3 linked regions of the Lepisosteus oculatus genome follow. The protein of the gene in region 3 interacts with the protein of the main gene of each other region in a biochemical or structural test. Links are inferred from orthologs where the notes say so. Each region holds a gene or a part of one and is shown on either strand. Other genes may lie near its edges. The genes, in order: nr4a1, fkbp8 and apoptosis regulator Bcl-2.

What was found.
Region 1: the proteins of apoptosis regulator Bcl-2 (region 3) and nr4a1 form a complex in vitro, tested with the Homo sapiens proteins (2 studies listed by BioGRID). The link is inferred for Lepisosteus oculatus from reciprocal best matches to the Homo sapiens genes BCL2 and NR4A1.
Region 2: the proteins of apoptosis regulator Bcl-2 (region 3) and fkbp8 form a complex in vitro, tested with the Homo sapiens proteins (4 studies listed by BioGRID, with this or other methods). The link is inferred for Lepisosteus oculatus from reciprocal best matches to the Homo sapiens genes BCL2 and FKBP8.

What each region holds. Positions count from the first base shown.
Region 1 is NC_090696.1:15,679,554-15,686,557, reverse strand, and holds the start of nr4a1 (nuclear receptor subfamily 4immunitygroup A member 1), read left to right. Parts: upstream 1-3,960; 5' UTR 3,961-4,370; exon of another isoform or gene 4,371-4,538; 5' UTR 4,539-4,851; coding exon 4,852-5,067; intron 5,068-7,004. UniProt on the Homo sapiens protein: Orphan nuclear receptor. Binds the NGFI-B response element (NBRE) 5'-AAAGGTCA-3'. Binds 9-cis-retinoic acid outside of its ligand-binding (NR LBD) domain.
Region 2 is NC_090724.1:8,155,773-8,163,638, reverse strand, and holds the start of fkbp8 (peptidyl-prolyl cis-trans isomerase FKBP8), read right to left. Parts: upstream 3,068-7,866; 5' UTR 2,957-3,067; intron 2,773-2,956; exon of another isoform or gene 2,278-2,772; intron 2,207-2,277; exon of another isoform or gene 2,096-2,206; intron 1,973-2,095; 5' UTR 1,949-1,972; coding exon 1,669-1,948; intron 687-1,668; coding exon 517-686; intron 1-516. UniProt on the Homo sapiens protein: Constitutively inactive PPiase, which becomes active when bound to calmodulin and calcium. Seems to act as a chaperone for BCL2, targets it to the mitochondria and modulates its phosphorylation state.
Region 3 is NC_090701.1:10,513,390-10,520,730, reverse strand, and holds the start of apoptosis regulator Bcl-2, read right to left. Parts: upstream 3,098-7,341; 5' UTR 3,008-3,097; intron 2,248-3,007; 5' UTR 2,146-2,247; coding exon 1,588-2,145; intron 1-1,587. UniProt on the Homo sapiens protein: Suppresses apoptosis in a variety of cell systems including factor-dependent lymphohematopoietic and neural cells. Regulates cell death by controlling the mitochondrial membrane permeability. Appears to function in a feedback loop system with caspases.

The sequences.
Region 1 (7,004 bases), on a different chromosome or scaffold from region 3:
AAAAACTAGAAGTCAAAGTCAACTTTATTGCCAAGACATTCCTTTGGGCTGTTGGGACTTTTCTGTGGTGTTGCTCAAAATAACAGAGATACAAAAAAAAAGGTCAGATACAAGAAGAGAAAAAAACATCATAAATAATACATATCATATTCAGAATAATATAGAATCCATGAATTTGCCCATAAATACTTTAATCAATACTTTTGTAAGTGTTGAGTTAAGAGACCAAATAGCCTCAGCAAAGGAGCTCTTCCTGAACTGCTCTGTTTTGGATTTGACAACATCCCAAACTCTTAACCTTCTCCCCAAGAGAGAGAGCTCAAACAGGGGAAAGCTGGGTGGGAGCGGTCACTTACACTCATCAGGGTCTTTCTGTTTAAATGTATTGCGTTTACGGAAGCAACAGATGGCGAGTTGCAGGCAGTTATTTTAGACGCAAGACGCTCAGTCCTCCAGGAACAGAGTGTGAGACTGGCTTAGCAGAAACAGAAAATGCAGTTATAGCTGCTGCTGCCCGGTTGCTATGCATTCAAGCAGTCTGTCAGTGGGCTCAGTCATTTTTGGCATCGCGGCCTTTAAGAAATGTTAAGTGAATTGTGCTGTGGTGACAAAACTAATTTCTGCACCAAAAACTCATCGTGTTTCCCCCGTGTGAGACTGACAGTACTATTATGTGCACAAAAGGATGGAGTGTTATAATAAGAAGTGCCAGTGCCAAATAATTGGAGGAGCTAGGAAAGGAAGATTTCATCTCCACTTCACCAAGGCCCTGTCCAGCTTCCAAGTGCAGATTTAATTATAAGAAGAATTGCTTACACTTATATAACACTTTTCTGGACACTCCACTCAAAGCGCTTTACAGGTAATGGGGACTCCCCTCCACCACCCCCAGTGTGCAGCCCCACCAGGACAATGCAACTGCAACCATAGTGCGCCAGTACACTCACCATACACCAGCTCTCAGTGACGTGTAGCTATTAGCTATCAGTTCATAGATGGGGATTATAAGGAGGCTCTGATTGGTAAAGGCCAATGATGCCCAGATTTTACCCCTGCTCTTTTCAAGAAACACCCTGGGATTTTTAATGACTCTCTTTAAAGAGAGTCAGGACCTCAGTTTTACATCTCATCCAAAGGATGGCATCTTTTTACAGTATAGCATCACCATCACTCTACTGGGGCATTAGGACCCACACAGACCGCAGGGTGAGCACCCTCTACTGGCCCCACTAACACCTTTTCCAGGTAGCAACGTTAGTTTTTCCCAGGTGGTCTCCTATCCAGGTACTGACCAGGCTCACACCTGCTTAGCTTTAGGGAGCTGCCAGTTGTGAGCTGCAGGGTGATATGGCTGCTGGTGAAGTATATATATGTATATTATCTGTATACAAACCCACAAATGCTAAATAAATGCCTTAGTAAAAAGCAGCATTAACCACAATGAAATACGTGTACTTTCACCTCTACATTTCACCATGGAAGGCTTCACCCCTGTGCCCTGTGCTGGACTGGCGTTCTCTCCAGGTGACCCTACTGTCCGCCAGGTGAGACTGTGGCTCACTGCTGCCCTGTACTGTGTCGGACTAAGCGGTTTTCGAACATGGATGGAGGGAGCTGGCAATGTCCACATTCCCGAGATCACGTTTTCCTCGAAACCAAGGATACCAGGTTAGATACCGCTACTGCCGAAGACAGAATTTGCCGCTATACGAGAAACCCGCCCGCAGATTTCGAGAGCCGTGGGCAAGAGCCTTTTCGCCGCAAACAGCCGGATCTCCGGCAGGTGGCGTCAGTGCCTTTAGTCACAAGGGTTCTCGGTTTTAAAAACGGGCTGTTCTTGGTAAAGGAAGAGACTGCAAGCGGAAAAGGTCGCTATTCTGAAACGAGATGCGTAAAGGAAAACGTACGAGGAGGCGAAGACGACTTTCATTAAAGCCAGCGGAAAGGCAGCTTTCCGTCCAACCAGATCGCCCAGTTGTAGTGTCGCATGCAGGCCGCTAGGTGTCATTACGCGGCCGTGTTGCGATGAAGTTCCTGTCGATGGATATATTGAATATCTTCCTTTGCCGACGGAACTCTTTCAGTTAAACTCTGTCGATTATTTAACTGCCTCAGTTCCCGAGAGTAAAGTTGCATAGAAATGTGATAACATTTAACGAAATTGCTAACAGTATCATGTATTGGGAAAAAAAAACCAAAACAAAACATGGCCGTCTTTATTTCAATCGATAGATAAACGTGGGTTCGTTGTACCAGACGTTTTGAGACATGATTGGATTTAAGATATTGCCCTTCAAGGGAAAGAAAAGAAATTAAAGACTAAGGTGGTGGGTTAGGGGGTTACAGCGTCCTGAATTACGGCGTTCGGTTCTGGTTTCCCTTCGCAGTCCTGTCGATAACTCCTGTGAGATGAACTTGCCCCGTTCGCTTCGGAACAGAGGAGTGCTCGGGGCCCGCTGTCCGTCCGCTTTTCCGGGTCTCTTTCAAACTCTTTCCGGCAAGGTGAGCCCTCGGCTTGTTCGGTGGAGCGAGCGAGGAGCGAGGGGCTGACGGGATCGGGTGGCGCGCGGCTGCTCCAGGTGTTCGTCTCGCTGAGGCGCGGGGAGGCCGCGTGACTCCAGCGGTTCGGTCTGAGTGGCGAGCTGTCGGCAGGCCGGGACTGGCAGCCCTACTAGTGTCGGACATCTAAATATAAAAACCCCACCTCTCGGTTTACCTCTTTTTTTTTTAATTCGAACACACTGAAAGTAACTCGATAAGGACACTGGTGTTTTAATACGGTCAAAGAACGCAGGAGCCTTCCCAACTATTTAATAACAAGGCTCGCGTATCTCGCTTAATGTATTATGTTACTGAGACTTATGTAATCACGTTTCCTCGAGTAGTACTTTAGGGGTGCAAATGCCTGATCCCCAGATGCAAAATTGATCTAGAATCTATAGGAAAAACCCCGAGCAGCATAGAAACATTCGTACACGCAAAACGAGACAAAAAAGAAAGAAAGCGACGCTTGTGCACCGGAGTCATTTGCTGGGGTGAATTAATCGAAATGTCCGTGGTGATTACATCGCTAGAGGAAGGGCCCACGGCTGGACCGAGGGCGGCATGAACGGGTCCCGCCGTGTCAGAGAGGAAGACCGAAGAGTGCAGCCCGTTAGCCTGCGAGCGCGGGTTTGAGGGGGACGGCCGCAGGGCGGACCTCACTGGGGCCCGAGCGCTTCACGTCACGGTACGGCTGCACTGCTCGGCCCGCAGGCCGGGCGACCCGCTGTCCGTGTGGAGGGCAGAGCGGTCCTCCTGGTTAGCGGAAGGTCAGAGAGTCGGGAAAGAAAGGAGAGACGTTTTTCTTCTGACAGCCGAGAAGTCTCCGCCAACTGAAAAAGTGCCGGTGAAACAACGAAAGGAGTTGCACTAAGGCACTGTAAGGTAGGCGAGAAAGGATTTTTTTTTTTTAAAAAAGGCTTTTTACAGAAATTCTTATTTAAAAAAAACACATCAACATTTGATTTATATCGACCTCCAACCGGGCCAAGAGATGAATTGCATCTGCAGTATGTGGGCTTGGGAGGGTGAGGAGAATGCGAATCTTGCTTGAGAGTCAGCCAATAAGGGCAAAAAGATTAGCGGCCAAGCCAGCTGGATGACTCGCGCGGCCGTCCTCCCGCTTGTGCAGGGGGTTAGGACCCCTCACTGGAGGGCTGTGGGATTGCTCCTGCAGTCTGTAGGGGGGGGCGGCTGAAGCGGGCCTGGGGATGTAGCTCAGTGGTAGAGCGCACGCTTCGCATGTGTGAGGTCCCGGGTTCAATCCCCGGCATCTCCACTCGGATTTTATTTCGCGAGAAGTAGGACATTATTTAATATATAAATAAATACAAGAAAGACCCGTTATAGAAACTGGGAGGAAGGCATTGTATGAATAGTGACGGCCGGCGTGTTTTGGTTTTTCAGGTTCTGCACTTTCCGATTCCGCCACCCCAGCTTTCACAACTGCCGGAGACATGGGGGGGCTGAAGGTGGTGGCGCTTAGTCGTGCCCGTTGGGATCAGGACAGCTCGCTCGCAGCACGGTGAAAGTGCACAACCCCCACAGAGGCATGCGCGGTGAGAGCCTAGCGTACGACTACAGCAGTAATGAAAGGCTCCGACTTGTCGGTCTCCTCTGCATATCTCCCGGTACAGCTTTAAAGAGAGCCTCGCATTTTTTTGTTTTGGAGACTACGAGGAAATGGGAATTTTTTTCTGAGCACGGAGGCTGCGCGTATGACTGCAGATGTAACGTTCACCGAGGCAGTGGAAACTCAAACTGCCATATAAAAGATAAGCGCCTACAGATCTCCCTGTACAGGAAGTCGGTCGGAAGCGGCGATTAAGGTTAGCTATACAGCAAAAATGTGAATCGTGTGTGTGTGGGGGGTCGTCCTTTACTTTCTCACGTCTTCGCTAAAGGTGCTATAATTATCTCGTCTCCATCTGTGTGCGTGTCACGAAACGGACAGCAACGACTTTCTTTTTTTCTCGCTCTTTTCTTTCTTTCGGTAGGCTATTTTTAGGTCGCCTTCACGTTTGTTTTCGCCGGCCTCCCTCCCAGAAGGGCCCGGTGTCGTCACCGCCAGGGATTCCACCTACGTCAATCGAGCCCTTCATTGACGTCATCGGAGAGACTTGCCCCTGTTTCTGAGCCATAGGAGCATCTGATCGTTCTCAGGCGAGGGGAAGTGCTTAGCGAGAAAGAGAGAGAGAAAAAAAAAGAGACGGCAGCAGGACTGGAAAAACGCCGGGCGGAGGGGCGTCGGGTTACACAGGCGAACGAAGAAACCCCGGCTTTCTTTTTGCGGTCCGACTGGTTTCCCTGATGCATATCGCCATGGCGTGGAATGTGAAAGATCTGATCAGAAGACAGGGGCGTCTTTGTGACGGCAGGAATCCTCGGAGGCGAAAAGAAAGAAAGCAGCGAGGAAGAGAAAGTGAGCTTCTTTTCCGGGACGGGAGGCGGCTGCACGGCCGGTTGGGCTCGCTGTCCCGGGTGAAGCGCGCAGCCGGGGGACGCGCCAGCGGTGACGCGCATCAGGTAAGCGAGTACTCGGACACTGTGAGAGCGCAGCGCTCGAACGCACTGACGGCACTCCCCCAAAGCAAGATTACTGCAGATTACTGCAAGTGACGCGTCTGCCTGGTTGTGTAGCTGTGTGTTTTTGATGTCGGGAGAGCTGCCGTCTGCTCCACGCGTGGGCAGAACCCCGCAGATCCTGACCCCCAGGGCCCCCACCGGTACCAGGTGGTTCTGGCAGTTTGCAGATTCCGGCACAGTTGGAGAACCTGTTAAAACAGAAGACGATACCACACGAGGAGGAGCTGCGAACACTGTGGCAGCCGCAGCAGAGGAAATCCATACAGGGATTCAGGAGTGGGGAGACACCTGGCCTGGTCTGACAGAGGGCCTGGGGCAGGAGGCAGGGCGGGGCACGGTCCTGAGGGGAGCTGGAATGGGATGCTCTTAAGAACGGTTCTTCGCGACTCCTCATTGAAGTCTTCTAGAAGACGTGAGGACGTAGTATGAATTCAGTAGGAATGACAACACCCGGGATGAAAGCTGCATGGAGCCAAATTGTGGTTTAACCCGCTTGGCTGAGGGCTGGCCTCCTGGCCAGAGGACAAGGAGACCAGGACCCCCCTGCAGGCTGACCAAGGGGCAGCTGCAGAGGTGGAGGTGGGATGCAAGAGAGAGAGAGAGGGATCTCGTAGGTATTTATAGCATTTGGGAGAGAAGTGGATTGTCAGGAGCGATTGCTAATTACTGACAGCTGAGTCTGATTGAACTTAGTTGTTGTCACCCCTCCCAAACTTTTGTTATAAACACCAGTCTGTATAGTGCAGTTTTTGTGCCAAAGCTCTTTGCATAGGATAAGAAACCTGTATATGATTTCCAAAAAGCCTAATAAAACAGACCTCAAACATTAGGATATATAAAATAAGATCTTTAAGATTGAATTGTAAATTGAAGAACTAAAATCAAGGGACATTGTACTACAGCTGTATGGTGCATTTACTGAACTGGACTATTGTGTGTCATTTTGTTCAGCACTTTATAAAGCAACATTTCTTTGGTTACATTCTGGCTCCGCTGAGCGACCAGATTAACGCTTGGCCTTGTAAGAAAGTTCTATATCTAGAGATAAAAAAAAATCTGTTTAGTCCAAAACTCTGAGAACAATGTAGGGATTTTTTGCAGTGTACAAACCCATGAACCCACTGACAAAGTTGGCCACAGTGAAGGTTAAGATGAACTGTGGCAAATACAGTAGATCAGGGGACACCAGCAAAAAGCTGATAATACTGTTGTTATCTGCATCGATACTGCATCTGCACAAGGACAGGCTAACACAGGCAGTCCTTATCCTGAGACACGAATTCTTCAAATTAAGATAAATTCCACACATCCAGTGTGTCCTGTTTGTATCTGGGGGGGAGGGGTTGTGACATTTGTAAAACAACAGATCATAATGTAGGCAAATATTTTCAGGTTGGGTAAATTCTGACAGAGATGCATCTATTTGTTCTAAACATGAGGTTGAACACCAGTGCCAAATAATTGGAGGAGCTAGGAAAGGACGATTTCATCTCCACTTCATCAAGGTCCTGTCCAGCTTCCATGTGTTCACTTTTAATAATAATAATAATAATAATAATTGCTTACACTTATATAGCGCTGTTCTGGACACTCCACTCAAAGCGCTTTACAGGTAATGGGGACTCCCCACCACCAGCACCAGTGTGCAGCCCCACCTGCATGATGGAACAGCAGCCATAGTGCTCCAGTACCTCACCACACACAGCTCTCAGTTTTGTTTCAAGTCTTGGCTGGTTCCCCCATGATTTGATGTTGTGACCCCCCTCCCCTTGTCCATACATCCACCCTAGCTGGAGCCTGTCCTAGCACGCACTGGGCACAAGTTGGGGTGTGTCCTGGAAGGGACCCCAGCCCATTGCAGGGCACACACACAGTTG
Region 2 (7,866 bases), on a different chromosome or scaffold from region 3:
ATTTCATCACAAAGATATTGCAACGAGATCTGCAGGCAAAGTTAACGAGCAGCATTTGTTGGCAAAACTGTCCCGAAGTCAAGAGAAATATTCAGCTGGATTAAAAGAGGTGTATTCACAAGCCTGCTGGTTTACAATGAAACAGGGCTGCTTCTCGTCACCCTAGGTTTTGTTGCCTCGTTCTGAATCACAGAACATGGCGCTGCGCATACCTGGAAATTACGTCCATTTTGTTATAAGTTACTGTGTACATTTTACTTTCATTGTGGTTTGAAGTGCCCTCACGAATGCCAATTCTTTCTAACCCTGAAATATCAAAATAGCACGGCAGTTCCTTTTAAGCGTGAGGAAAAACATTCGGGTCCCATTCTTTCCTGGGGGCAAATTCTCTGACCGCAATGAAAGGGTCAGACAGAAAACACGCTCACTGGAAAGAAAGGACCCTGAAATGCTCTTTCGGAGGTGCAGCTCAGGAAGCAAGCGGACACGAGGCCAGCCGCCCCCCCACCCCCCCACCTGGATGACGTCGCCGTCTCCGAGCGTGAAATCCAGGCTGGGCTCCTCCTGCACCAGGGAGCCATCCTGCAGCGAGGCCTTCAGCCGGACCCTCACTGTCTGGCCCTTCCTGGGCCGGCTGTCCGGGCCCCTGCCAGCCGCCAGCACCTTCTTCCTCAGCTGCCCGTTCCCTGCGGAGAGAGCGCGGGAAGAAGGTCAGTCCCCGGAACACAGGAAGGGAAGGGGAGAAGGAAGAGGTGCTGGACCGAGGGATGATCAGAATGAAAAGCAGACACGCCCCCCACCAAAGCTCACTCATCCATCCATTTTCTAACCACTTCATCCAACGCAGGGAGCCAGAGCCTATCCCAGCAAGCAGCGGGCACAAGGCAGGGTACACCCTGGACGGGACGCCAGGCCATCAAAGGGCGCACACACACACTCACACCAGGGCCAATTTTCCCAGAAGCCAACTAACCCACCAGTATGTCTTTAGACGGTGGGAGGACACCGGAGCCAAAACCTCTTACATCCAAGGAAAAACAGGGATCCACCCTCCTCTGGATGAAATACTGAAGTTGGTTATAAAGGAAAAGCATGAAAATGAGGTAACAGAACATCACCATTCCCTTCGACCAGCAGCTCTGTCACCCCGCAGCTCCCAGCTGGCAGCCCTGGCCAGTACCTGGAGGGGAGACTCCTGGGAAAGCTAAGGCTGCTGCTGGAAGAGGTGTTAGTGGGGCCAGCAGGGGGCGCTCACCCTGCGGTCTGTGTGGAGCCTAACGCCCCAGTACAGTAGGACACTATACAGCAAAAAGGTGCCGTCCTTTGGATGAGACGTAAAACTGAGGTCCTGACTCTCTGTGGTCATTAAAAATCCCAGAGTGTTTCTCGAAAAGAGTAGGGGTGTTACCCCGGCATCCTGACCAAATTTCCCATTGGCCTTTACCCTTATTGGCCTTCTAATAATCCCCATCTCTGAACTGGCTTCATGACTCTGCTCTCCTCCCCACTGAGAGCTGGTGTGTGGGGAGCAGACTGGTGCATCATCCAGGTGGGGGTACACCCTGGTGGGTGTGGAGGGGATCCCCGTTACCTGTACAGAGCTTTGAGTGGAGTGTCCAGAAGAGCTGTATAAGTGTGAGGAAATATTATTATTATTATTTTTATTACCCAAGACATCCAGCCACTCCTCTCCCTCCGAGGAGTGCTCAGCCGCAGGGCTCTGCTCACTCCCAGTCCCGTCCTCCCCTTCCTTCCGAACAGCCGCCTTCTTCCCTGCAGCGGTGTCTTCCAGAGGAGGAAGATCCCCATCATCATCATCGTCCTCCTCCTCCTCGTCATTCAGCATCTCGAAGTCCTCGCCGCCGTCCAGCAGGGAGGTGCGCCGCCGCCGGCCCGGAGACTCGGCCCCGCCGCCGGCCGCCTCCTGCGCGTCCCCCACGGCCGCCATATCTGCGCTTCAGAGCACGTTGAACTGGGGAGAGGCAAAATAACACTGACCACCCAAAACAGACACCACCCGGAGACACGAAACCCATCGACTGCAGCCCCCAGATGACCCGACCTCCCAGTCACGTCCTCCCTAAGAGTTAGGTACCTGCTCCGTGAATGCTGTAGTTAAATCGCCCTGTTGAATAAAAGCAAGTAACGTTGCTAATAGAGCCAGGAGCGACGGACGTGTCTGCGAAGGCCCTTTTGGATCGGCTGCGAAATCGCAAACGTAATACAAAACACGGATCTACCCGCCTACCCCTCTCTCCCCCCGCCCGGCGGTGCAACCTGTTGTACGATCTGATCCCGTCTCGGGCTGTGAGATCCACATCCAGGTGGTGTCGGGATGCGTTTCGCACTCAGACCATTTATCGATCAACAAGAAAAGTCGTTTTGGGGGGGGATCTGCTGCGGATTTATTCGACCAGAACACAGCCTATAGGAAACAGAGCAGTTGCTGCTCATCCTCATCTGGGCAAGCGGGTTGTGATATAATCTAATCGAACATCTGAAGTCCAAATTAATAATCTTGCGATCGCCGCTGTAGAGGACCCACCGCCAGATAAGAAAAATAAATCGAGTTACCCACACATTTTCTCAGCGGAACCAAAACAAAGTTTAAATGACTGACGCAAACATTTTAACGCTGCAAACGGGAGCAGAAACGTCATGGAAGTCTGAAATATGAAACGAATACAACTAGTACACTTCCTAGCCGGCCCTAAACCACACGTGGGACAAGTGCCTAAACTGAACACACAGGAGTGCATCAGCTGCGCTTCAAGATACGGAGACGAAGTTTTTTTTAAAATAAAAGCGACTTTATCGCGTCATTTGGCCTGAGGTGATAGGTGATGAGTACGCGTCAGGGCAAAGTGTAAAGCTCCAAGCTGCAGTTTCTCTCACACGCGTCGCAAGAGTTTCTCCTAGTCAGAATAGGGTCGTTAGCAAAGCGAACCGTCCTTACCTTGCAACGTTATGAATTCATACAACGCCGTGACGCCATCAAAATTAAGCTTTCATATTTCTTCCTGGTCACCTTGGACCTTGGTCGCCAAGCAATCGCAGAACACTTTAACCCCGCCCATCGCACGATTCTATTGGCTTCTACTCCTCACTCCATTTTACTATTGGTCTGTTCCGCTGTCACTCATTTTCAGACCATAGAGTTCAGTCATCCGGGCACAGATGGTCCCGCCGCTAGTCTCTCCGGAAGTAGAGGCGGTTCCCTCTCGCGCACTCGTAGAGATGAACAGAGATTAGAGTGACGCGTGATCCTCCCGTGTAAATTACAGCGCCATCTTAGTGGGGTGAAAATGAAAGCAATTACGCTTCGATTCTTGCAGTCATAACACAACTCTGTCATTGCATGGTTTGAAATCTTCTTAAAAGTTGGTGGAATATATTCATGAAATGACTTTTCCTATGAAGCTGTTATGATACGGATGCAATGTTCTCTTTAGACGCAGTCTGGTTTTATTCTATTGAAACTGCACTCCAACACTGGATAATGTTTTTTGTAATATTTAAACAAATGCTTTTTTACTTCAAAACCCTATTATGCAGAATGAGAAACGGATTCTCTCGTATACATAAAGAACTTAGAGAGAATTGGAGTTTTAATCATAATTATAAATAACAAATAATTGTTGTTGTTAATAATAATTAATAATAATAATAATAATAATAATAGTTGCTTACACTTATATAGGGCTTTTCTGGACACTCCACTCAAAGCGCTTTACATGATGGATGATGGATGATGCAACAGCAGCCATAGTGCGCCAGAACACTCCCCACACACCAGCTCTCAGTGGGGAGGAGAGCAGAGTGATGGAGCCAGTTCAGAGATGGGGATTATTAGGAGGCCATGATGGGTAAAGGCCAATGGGAAAGTGGCCAGGACGCCTGGGTTACACCCCTACTCTTTTTGAGAAACCTCTGGACCAGTCAGGACCTCGGTTTTACGTCTCAGCCAAAGGACAGTGCCTTGTTTTATAGTATAATGTCCCTGTCACTATACTGGGGCATTAGGACCAGACCTCAGGGTGAGAGCCCCCTACATATGAGATCCCAGGCACACTCTGAACCAAAGAGCTCCTTGTTCCGGCCCTCAACTTTACCCTGATTTATGCAAGTAGGAGTGGATACGAATTCCTGTACCATTTACGGAGCCCTTAACATGAGCTGTGAAAGGTCTGAGTTTTGCCGAAGTCAATCCAGCCCAAAATATATGTTATCCACCAAACCTAAAAGGTTTGAATTATAGGCAGTTACCATTGAGGTTGAGAACTGATCGAGAGACCTATTGACCCGAGCTTTGATCAAGAGTGATGTCTGATATAGAGTGACAATCTCTCCAGGTTCCGGAAGTCTGCACTCCACCAGGTTTTTTAGGTAATTTAATAATCCCCAATGAGTTAAGAGCTGAAAACATTGGGAATGAAGACCAGTTGAGGGAACAACAGATTCCAATTAAGTGGTCAAGAGTCCAGAGTGGAATAGCGATCAGAAGACCCGACAGCCCTCCAGCAGAAGGTGTGAATATTGTCCAGGTGATACAGACAGTCTTTCCCCCACAGGTAACACACGAGGAGAATTCCTCAGATGAGCTCCTCCTCAACCACCACAGTGCAGAAGAAGCAGATTCCTGGGGAGGGCAGCTCAGACTCTGTCTCTGCCAAAGACCGCTCCACAAGTTAAGGTGATACAGGTGAGAGGAAGAGAAGATATTGTTCCAGGTAAGTGTTCTATCCATCATTCAGAGAAAACTGCTTAATCTTGGTAAAGATCACAGCAATATGGAGCACCAGGCAGGGCCCCACCCTGGATAGGAGGCCAGTGCATCGCAGTGCACACAGGCACAATGTATACACACCAGCTGTTTTTACTAGCTCAGCCTTGTGAGGTAAAATGAACCGGGAGCTCTGGGAGGAAAGCCACGGGCATGTGGAGTGAAGATGCAGACTCCACACAGAAGGCTCCTTCTGTTCAGAGTGGAACCCAGGACCCAGCACTGTGAGACAGCTGTTTTAGCAACCAAGCCACTCTTGCTGCTCTCTTGGATAGCCAGCAGCCATATCACCCTGCAACTCACAACTGGCAACCCACTGAAGCTAAGCAGGTGTGAACCTGGTCAGTACCTGGAGAGGAGACTCCTGGGAAAGCTGAGGCTGCTGCTGGAAGAGGAGTTAGTGGGGCCAGTAGGGGGCGCTCACCCTGCGGTCCATGTGGGTCCTAATGCCCCAGTATAGTGATGGGGACACTATACTGTAAACAGGTGCTGTCCTTCGGATGAGACGTAAAACCGAGGTCCTGACTCTCTGTGGTCATTAAAAATCCCAGGACGTTTCTCCAAAAGAGTAGGGGTGTTACCTCAGTGTCCTGGCCAAATTCCCCATTGGCCTTACCAATCATGGCCTCCTAATAATCCCCATCTCTGAACTGGCTTCATCACTCTGCTCTCCTCCCCACTGATAGCTGATGTGTGGTGAGCGTTCTGGCGCACTATGGCTGCTGTCGCATCATCCAGGTGGGGCTGCACATTGGTGGTGGTGGAGGGGATCCCCATTACCTGTAAAACGCTTTGAGTGGAGTGTCCAGAAAAAGCTCTATATAAGTGTAAGCAATAATAATAATAATAATAATAATAATAGTAATAATAATAATTATTATTATTATCACCTGGACTCTTTGTTAGAGACATGATGTACTCTGACCAGCCAGGGCCCACAGTGCTCAGCCCTCAGCTACACCCACTGCAATGCGCACGATTGTGTGCTTTCACTTTGGTTGAATCACAACAGCCGTGGAGATGGGTTTAAGGAGCACTACACAGATAAGAGTGCACACCCAGCATTGCTGCAGTTGGAGAATCAGAGACATTGAAGCCCTGCAGCCTAGGAAATGGAATTGAATTGCTATTGTCAGGTTGAGGCTGCACTTCAATCAAACAGCCCCTGAGAGCCTCGATACAGCAGGTGGTTTAGGTTTCCTGAAGTCTTCAACAGATCGGTGTTACCCGTTTCCTCTGGCCTTAATGTGACTAAGAAGACCCAACGCACTGCAGTCCTCCTGGGCCAGACTCAAATCCCCTGGGCCCAAGGCTTCTTCCTGAACTCTCCTGAGGTGTTCACATGTAGATCCTGACTGGCATCTGGGAGTTCTGCACGGACAGCTCAGGGTAGGTCAAGCCAGGGAGGGGAGGTGCGTGCCATGATGTGAGCCAAGCATCAGCTAATGTCGGCCTCAGTGCCAACTCATTGAATGGAGGCACGCACTTTTCTGCAGACTGTCCCGTGCGTGAGTGCAGTTGTGAAAGACGAGGAACGGACGTTTACCCAAGGCCCCGCGGGGCTGATCTCAGCCGCTTTTAAATGCAGCAGAGGCCCTTGCAAACGGTAAGAGCCGCAGAAGGCTGTAAGTCAGAAAGATGCAAAAAGCATCACAACATGATCTCAACCACACCTGTGCCTTGCGGCCCGCTGTAGGACTTCACCTGCACCGGAAGCTAAAAAACATAAACCTCACTCAGAGCAGAGCACCGCCATTGGCAAAACATGCGATCAGAGTTTTAGTTTCTTATGTATTTTGGTCTCTCTTCCTCTCCTCCCCCTGCCTAAGTTAATCTGGATCCAGGAGGCTCTAGCAAGCACCCATCAAATGGACCTATTAGTTCTGCAACAATCTCGCATTACGGATTCCCTCCCAAAAACCAGGAGGAGCTGCACATTCCTGCCCTTCCGCCATGCAAAAGAGGAAGCTCGGGATGAGCTGTGTTTTTGTGTAATTGGGGCTGTTGTGTGCACCAGGTTGATCGGCACAGAATGCTAAGTGGCTCCCTCATCTATCTGCGTTTTCCCAGCGGGGCAGGTCGCTGCAGGCTGTGCATATCAAGGTTGGCTGGCTCTGTGCACAGCCTGAGTGGTTAACAAGCCCCGGTATTAGTGTCAACTTGCTAAATTGTATGTAACTTTTTAGTTCACACTAATAATCCTGCTTATTGATTTCTTGTCTGAGCCTTCAGCCTGGTGTAACACTAATGGCACTGGTCAATAAATATCACAAACTGTTGCACACCCCCCCCCCCCCCACACACACACACACACACACACACTCACACACACACACTCACTCTCCCTTTCCCCTAATCTTAAAAATCACTGCTCGACATCACTCCTGGGCTGCTGGAGGAGGTACAACAGAGACAATGTTTCTAATAGGATCTGCACTGCTTAAGCCCCCAGGTTTCTCTCTTGTTTGTTAAAACTGCTTGCTTAAAGGTGTCTTATCTGTTAAGAAAGGAAAGGTGTTTCATTGGTAAATGCAGCACACCACCTCATGTTGTACTATGCACACCTATTAACAAGCAGAACAGCCCATGCATGCACAAAGGAGGCAGAACAGAGCGATTTCTACACTAAAGGCCTGGGGAGGATTATCTCTGCAGGGTGTCTACAGTAGGCTGATTAAATGGACCCTATAGATCAGAACCAAGGGCCAGCAGGGTGAGAGGTCAGTGCATTTTCGTGAAGGTGAGCCTACTAAGTTAATCGAGCCAGTCAGGGCTTGATCTGATTGACTTAATTGTTTTCACCATATCATTACTCACAGGTTGCAAGTTCGCTCAGTGAAAAGGTGATAGAAAGAAATCCACGAATCTCATAAGTTGAAGACCGAAAAGCAATTTTGAAAGGTTGAAAGAGGCGAATGATAAGTTCAGCTTCGTAATTGACAGCTCAGGTGAAACAGAACCCCAGCAGGGGCGGACTGTCAGGAGGTTTCGTGCACAACCCTTGGGATGTCCGCTCAGAATCTGAAATAAATTCTTTGTAATCCTGGTCTGCATGATTACCAGCCAGGGATAGACCACTGCTG
Region 3 (7,341 bases):
TCTTAGACCAGTCTCGAACATCAGCAGTATTTCCCTGCAACAAAAATGCACGTATTCACTTTTTGTTAATAATAACATTATATTCACTCAAATTTAATTAATTCCCAGGCACGTCTGATGAATAACTATTTCACACTAGAAATGCTTAAATAAATCATAGTCACCTAGATCTCCAAACAAGATTTGGGTAGTTCCTTAGCAGTCCATACTACTGCTTCGTTCATTTATTTTCATTGGTCTTTGTATTCTTCTGACTTTCATTGTATAACCACACAAAGTATACCCATGACAAGAGTTTCTTCAACATGAAAAGAGCAATAGAACACACTCCTGCAGAAGATGTGATTAATGTCTTCACAGCATCAGATATCATGGGAATAATGACTGATGCATCGACTGTTCAACCCCAAAAACAAACAGAGAGAATGTATGACAACTGCAAGCTGTAGATCTCCTCTGTGGCTGCATTCTTGAAGGTGATGTCACATTTATTTAAATGCAGACGTGGTTTATTTAAATAATATTGTGATCAACACAGTGATTTAAGGTTTAGAAACCAGCAAGACTTCATATGGGAGCTATAATCCAGTTATAGTTTAGAGACTAGTAAATATCTGCAGTGACAAAATGTTTTGGGAAATTGCCACTAGTCACCACAGAATCCTGAAAACCAAAGAAAACGTTGCTGGTATCCCCCGTCTTAAAAAAAAAACTCCCTCATAGCACAAGCAGATACGTGTTACTACAGTGAAGCGAGGCTGCCTTTTTTTCGTCATAATATTTTTCTGTACGTTAAAGTGTTTTAGCAAGAGCGTTACCAAATAAGCAGAAATAGGTTATAGTAACTGTTTAAGTCAGGTGTTATGAAAGTTTCAATGTTTTATACAACATTTTCTAAGGCTTTCTGTAAAACACCTTAGTACGCCCCTTCCTCCCGAGCAAGTTAAGGCGTCAAATTAAACCCTTGTGGACTGGGCGAGCCCTCTTTTCAGAATTATAAACCTTCTTTTTAACGTGTCTTCCGAACCACTCGTGTGACATTAGCCCAGATGTCCTGGAAGTGAAGTACTGTATGTTCCCAGTTTCATCACAGGCTGAAATTGACAGCTCACGACACGGCAACCCTTCGTCATGTCTAGTAGGCGTGAAGGGGGTGTGACAGGGAACGCGCACCTAATTGGTCAGAGCTCCCTTCGGACAGGTGACCTCTTACAGAGCAGGCTTCGCCACACAGATGACAGGAAATGTCTTTCCATTGTGAGGGACAATCAAGGCTTTTATGCATGTTCTTCAATCCATTTAACAAAGACAAGGAAATGTACAGGTTTTAGGCGTGTCCCTTGTCATTTCAGCAGGTATGTGCGTGGATTTGGGGTATAACCTGAATACTCAAACCGTGCATTGAATGGTGCGACAAATTAGGCAACACTATCACAAGAGATTATGGGGAAAAATCGATTCTGCGGAGATCATTAAGGAAGGGAGAAATTTGAGGAAAACAGGGAATCTTGCAAAACCTCAATTACACTTTGCATTTATTTATTTTTTATTGTTTTTTTTTTTTTTGCACGTTGTGACCAAACTCACCCAGCCTCCGTTCTCCTGGATCCAGTTCTGAAGGGGCCCGTTGAGATACTCCGTCATCCAGTTGGCAATGTTGTCCACCTGGGACGTCATCTCCCGGTTCACGCTCTCCACGCACATCGTCCCGCCGAACTCGAAGAAAGCGACAATCCGCCCCCAGTTGACTCCGTCCCGAAACAGCTCCTCCACCACCGCGGTGAACTTCCTCCGGGCGGTGTTGGGGGTGAAGTGCAACTGATCCGACATCTCCGCGAAGTCCCGGTGGTACATCCTCTCGATCTCGTCCCCAGCCTCCCGCAGCACCTTGTGGAGAGCGGCGTGGGGGTCGGGCGGGGGGGTCCGGCGGGGGACCGGGACAGCTCCGCGCTCGGCCCCGGCAGCCTGGAGCCGCCGCGCCTGCAGCCCCGGACCCGAGGCGGAGGGGCCCACCAATCCGTTATTGGGGGGATCGGTCTCGCCGGACACGCGGGATTCCCACACGTAGCCCTTCTTCAGGAGTTTGTGATGGATGTATTTTGTCACGATATTCCGAGTATCGTACGGGGCTTCGTTATTTGCCATTATTTAGGGACTCAAAATGCCGCGACCAAACCCAGCAAGTCCAAGCAGTCCTATGCCACGTGCATTTTCCAACAGAAACTCGTAAACGGCTTGCTATATATTCTGTAATTCAACAATACAGATGATTATTACTACCAGACTCAATGCATACATTATTTCTGGTGTTCCCACCAGTCTTTAAAAATACCAATATCAAAAAGGCGGCTAGGATCAATAACACGCCATGCTGTAAAAACACCGCGGCTGTTCGAAACCCAGACACATTAGAGACATCTTCCAATGCAAACACCCTAATTAAATAAAAAATATTACCCGAGTTAAACACGCACTTTAATATCGGTGCATTTTAGACGTGTGCATTGTAGAAAGAATGAAGTTTGCCCTTTACCGATCATTTCCACACCGGCTTCAGAAGCCCCAATATAGGCATTATCAAACTTTGAAAAACGTACTTTTAATTAATACGACATTCTATATTTTTCAGAAAGCATGTTTATTGGGTGACCCGCAATGTTCTACTATTTGCAAAAACCTGCGTTTAAGTGCATTGCAACACGTAAACTGCAGCTACAACATATACTTAACACTTCACCTTTTTTTTCCCGCAGACTTGACAGTCTTCATTACAAACCAAAATGTTCTAAAAGAAATGAATGTCAAACATCAAGAAATCGTGCTATGCGGTGAATGCACTACTCTTCGTAACCAGGAGAGCAATTTTCTAATGCCGGAGAAAACAGTCGGAGCTAATATCGTCTATCTGGATTTAAATATGCATTTTCCTACAACCGAATTTTATCATCTATTTTCTACTTTGCCTATACATCCCGCGCTATCGCTTTATAAACTTTGGGTAACTTACTTCATCGGTTACAGGCGTTTAGACAGCTCCAGAGCCGCAAGCAATCCGCCAGGAATGTTTGATCTATTCTAATTATTACGCCCCTTTTCAGCAATGAGAAAGATCCGTGGGAAAAAAAAGTACCAAGTTTTCGCGTATCCTTTAGAATATATTTTCCACAAATCCAGCAATTTGGGAAGTATCCACTTAGATTCCTAATTCGAGATAATCACTTGAACACATCCAAAACTTGGACGAAACCGCACTGCTGTCCTGCGGCGCTGAATTATCCCAGTGACATTTGAACAGCGCCTTTGAAAGACGGAAGAGACAGCAGTAGCTTTCGAAATGCCTTTTATCCCAGATTAAGTAAATCGACTAGGAGAGTCTCCCACACACACACACACAAAAAGACGCCGAGGAATGTATTAAAAAGATCTCAAGTTTAGAAAGAAAATAACACTAAGCCTTGCTCCTTGCACCGTCACGGCAAAAACTACGTTAAAGCTGCAGTTACATAGTATGTGAGCAACAAATCTTTGATACAACTGCACTCGCCGTCACTCCCTCTGCCTCTCATTATATATAACGTTACTCCTTTCGAGTGAGGTATTTCCTCTACGTCACGCCATTCATTTTTTTAGTTACTCTGGCAGCACTTGATGGCGGGGCTACTGTACGACCGGCTGCTTCACCTGTTGTGAGATTTCCGCTCGATTTTTATTATTTAACATCGGTTCCAAGTCCAATATCGTTAATTCCCCGGCGCTGCCATTTGTGTTTCGGAACATATTGTTTGCACCACAATTAGGTTTGTACCACAAAAACGATCATCGATGTCGCCAAAATTATATCAAGCGAGCGAGTTCTTTACCGAAGACGGATTTGAATGATTTTACAGTAAGTGCAAATGAAATACATTTTAAATAGGTAAATGTCATATATAATATAAATCTATGCCAAAGCTTGTGTTTCTCGAGAGTGCACTTTAGCAGTTAGAGAACTCGAATTCGCTACAATATTAATCATCCTACAGTATATTTTTAAGCAATTATTCAGGATCGTAAAGTGGGGGCAATTGTTAACCAACACCATTAAAATACCGAACCGTGCATATACTGTACATATATATACTTTACGTAAAATATTTGAGATAAATGATGCACTGAAGAGTGGAGGCGGGAATTCTACATGACATATGAAATTAATGAGAAAAATAAAGACGTCTGACATCCTATCGAAGCTGAATTCCCGAAATCAGTCTGGAATCGGTCTGCAGTTACAATGCCTTGTAAAAACATTCACCCCTTCCAGTGATGTTCCATGTTGTTGAATTAGAAATTCTCTCTACACCTTTTTTAACGTGTTTATTTTTAATCGAAAGGTAAATGCTCGAAACTTCATTGTGCGTGAAAGAAGTGAAGTGTCTGCAAAGAAAAAATCAAATAAAAAGTTGATTCACACCCTTTATAATGACACATCTTTAATTTGGGCGCACACAATTACAGTGACAAGTCGCACCATTAGTTGTATGGCTTTAGCTGAATGGATTTAAAACTATTCACTTTATAAATCTGTGTACACGATTCATAAATTCACAAAGTGGAAAAGAGTAAATACTTTTGTAATGCATTGCGTTTACATTGTGAGAATCCTTTTCTATTGTGGATTAATGTCTTCAAGGAATTTTAATCTTGTCCTCATTTGAAAATCATTTTCTCGTCCAGATTTTTGAGGCACACATTTGGTAGACGCCAATGCCATCTGGAAAATGGATTTTTAGATTTAATTTTTTAGGAGGCTGTAGTAACAGGCTGTCATCATTCTTCATGCATAAGCAGTTCCAGTTTCCAAGGGTATCAGTCTCATTTACTTTTCTTTGGTAGAAGGCACTGCAAACAAGAAGCTGGATTAACGATTTCAAGATTTACATTTGGATTTAGAAGATTTTTCTCCTTTGCTTTCAATTCTGTTATTTTCAGTGGGGTTTCCTTTCTACGTCATTATGTCCATCTGTCCTGAATTCTATTTGTCTTTTTTTTTAACCATCTGTATCTAAATTCCTTCCATCACCAGGAAGAGCCAGCTGGGAAAAGACCTACTGGATGTTAAAATGTGTTCCCTGCTTTTAGAGGACGCCAGTTTCGGGAAGACTTTTTTTTCCGGACAAAATAAAATACCGTAAATTGTTCTAACTAATTTTATCACAGAATTCCAGAATTTTAAGTTGTTGTATATCCGTTTTATTCAGCAGTGGGCAGTCTTAGACATGTAAGAAATACCTCATAAAAACAGTCTTAACGGCGATGGCAGCTCCGTGTAAAACACAACAACAGAGCCACGACGGTAAAATACAGAATACCTGATCTAATCTTGACACGAGTCGTCAAGTCTCTGAGCAGGCTTTAGGAGCGGGATCTATGGGAACTGGGCCCCTGCTTTTCTCACACAATGAACAGAGCAGAGCAATTCTAATAGGTCACCAACAGTCACGTTTCTCCTTGAACTGAAACAGAAGTGCCGGGCTGGGAACAATGACGTTCTTGTTAACTGAAATCGCACGCCTGGTGTGAGAAGTCTCCAAGCACATGTCCAACCAGGAACCAGATGAAATCTGCATGTGCTTTTTTTTTTCAGAACTTGAATCCATGATGAGGTTCAGTTGTGTGACTTGTCAAAGTAGCTTTGTAGCGTCCTGTTCGTGATCTAATATGTTTCCCATAGCAAAGGGGGCAGGCACTGACAAGTGACAGGTTTCTGTTTTTTAAATGGTTCTCTGCAGTTTTTGCTGACATAATGACGTAATTGTTTTCATCCATCAAAGTGTTCCGTTTGAGCATTCAAGCTTGAACTTAAACGTTTGTTAAAAATGTGAATGCATCATTTGTTATTCAGCATAATGGGGTATCCATGGGAGGGGGATGAATATTTTTGTAAGGCACTCCATAAACAGCAAAACTATTAAACATATCCAACTAAAACCAACAGAGACCTTTTTGGAAGGAATGGCTGCTGATTTTCTTTCTCTTATCTCAGCACAGGCACACGTTAAGGACAACAACCCATCCTGCAAAGACTCTGACTTAACATGGACTCAGAAGGTTTGTTTTCCACAATATACTGTACAATTTTATCATTAAATAACAAAAACCAGTCTCAATGGCCAGCAGCAGGCATTAGATGTGGTGGCTGACCAAAACAAAAAGCACTTTGCAGACACTGTGACTTGTTCCCTGTTATTCTCATAAGAATTGCTTGCATTTATATAGGACTTTTCATCATGAAAGATTCAAACGTCCTTCACATCCAGGAGGGGACCCACTTCATCCATGATAAAATCAATCCCCTGTCAAGGGGATGTACAACAGCCCCAATCCCACTCCCAGAGAAGTGAGAATTTACTCAAATATCTATTGAATTAAGAGGGGAATTGAGGGAAGTCACTCCAGGCTTTACACACCCAGAGTGGGGATCTTTAATGACCAAGTAGTCACCCCACACCAGTTGAAGTGTTAACTACGGATCCACCGAGATCTCTCCCAATTTTTTGCCTACCTTCTGAGACCTGACAAAATCAGACTACAGAATGAGTCACTTTCCACTGGCTGGAAGAGAGAAGCTGAGGAGGTTATTCCAGACGGCGGCTGTCAATCAGTGGTATCACAGACCTTGGGGATCCTCTTATTTTAAACACTGCTGTAAGGATCTGTACACATTCAAAACACTGATTAGGGACCTTAATCTGGGAAGGATTGTAAGACTAATAACACAAGGTGCTTTTACTAGATTAACGGCGTCTGCATTTAATTAATTATGCCAGAGCAGACAATGAACTTGTCTAGTCAGCACTTTCTCTCTATCGTTTTCAAAATGACACGTGTCAATTGATCTGTGAAAACAGTATACACTGCCTTTCACAATCCGTGAGAAGCCACATTATTTTGTTTTTAATTTAAAGCACATTAGAATTGTTCAAACGAATTGTTCAAGGTACGACACAACAGACACCCCTTTAAATGATTTTTATATTTTTCTAAAAACTGGAAAACTTGAATATTGTAGTTTTTAGTATTAAAAATCAAGTTAGGAGAATAGACTCAAGTGATTTCAGCAATTTAAGCAAGGATGTGGGAATTATGTTGTAATAGAAACACAGATAACAGAAGCACATTTGTGTTCATCATGTCCACTTTGGAACTCAATGGAGTATAAATCATTTTTTGTTGTCCTTATTATCTATCTTCAGTTATTTCATAATCTTGTTATGTAAAAGTCAGTATCAATCATGGAAGAGGTTAAATCAGTTAAATATCAATCTTTCTGGAGACCATCATACTAGATGTAAAAACAAAACC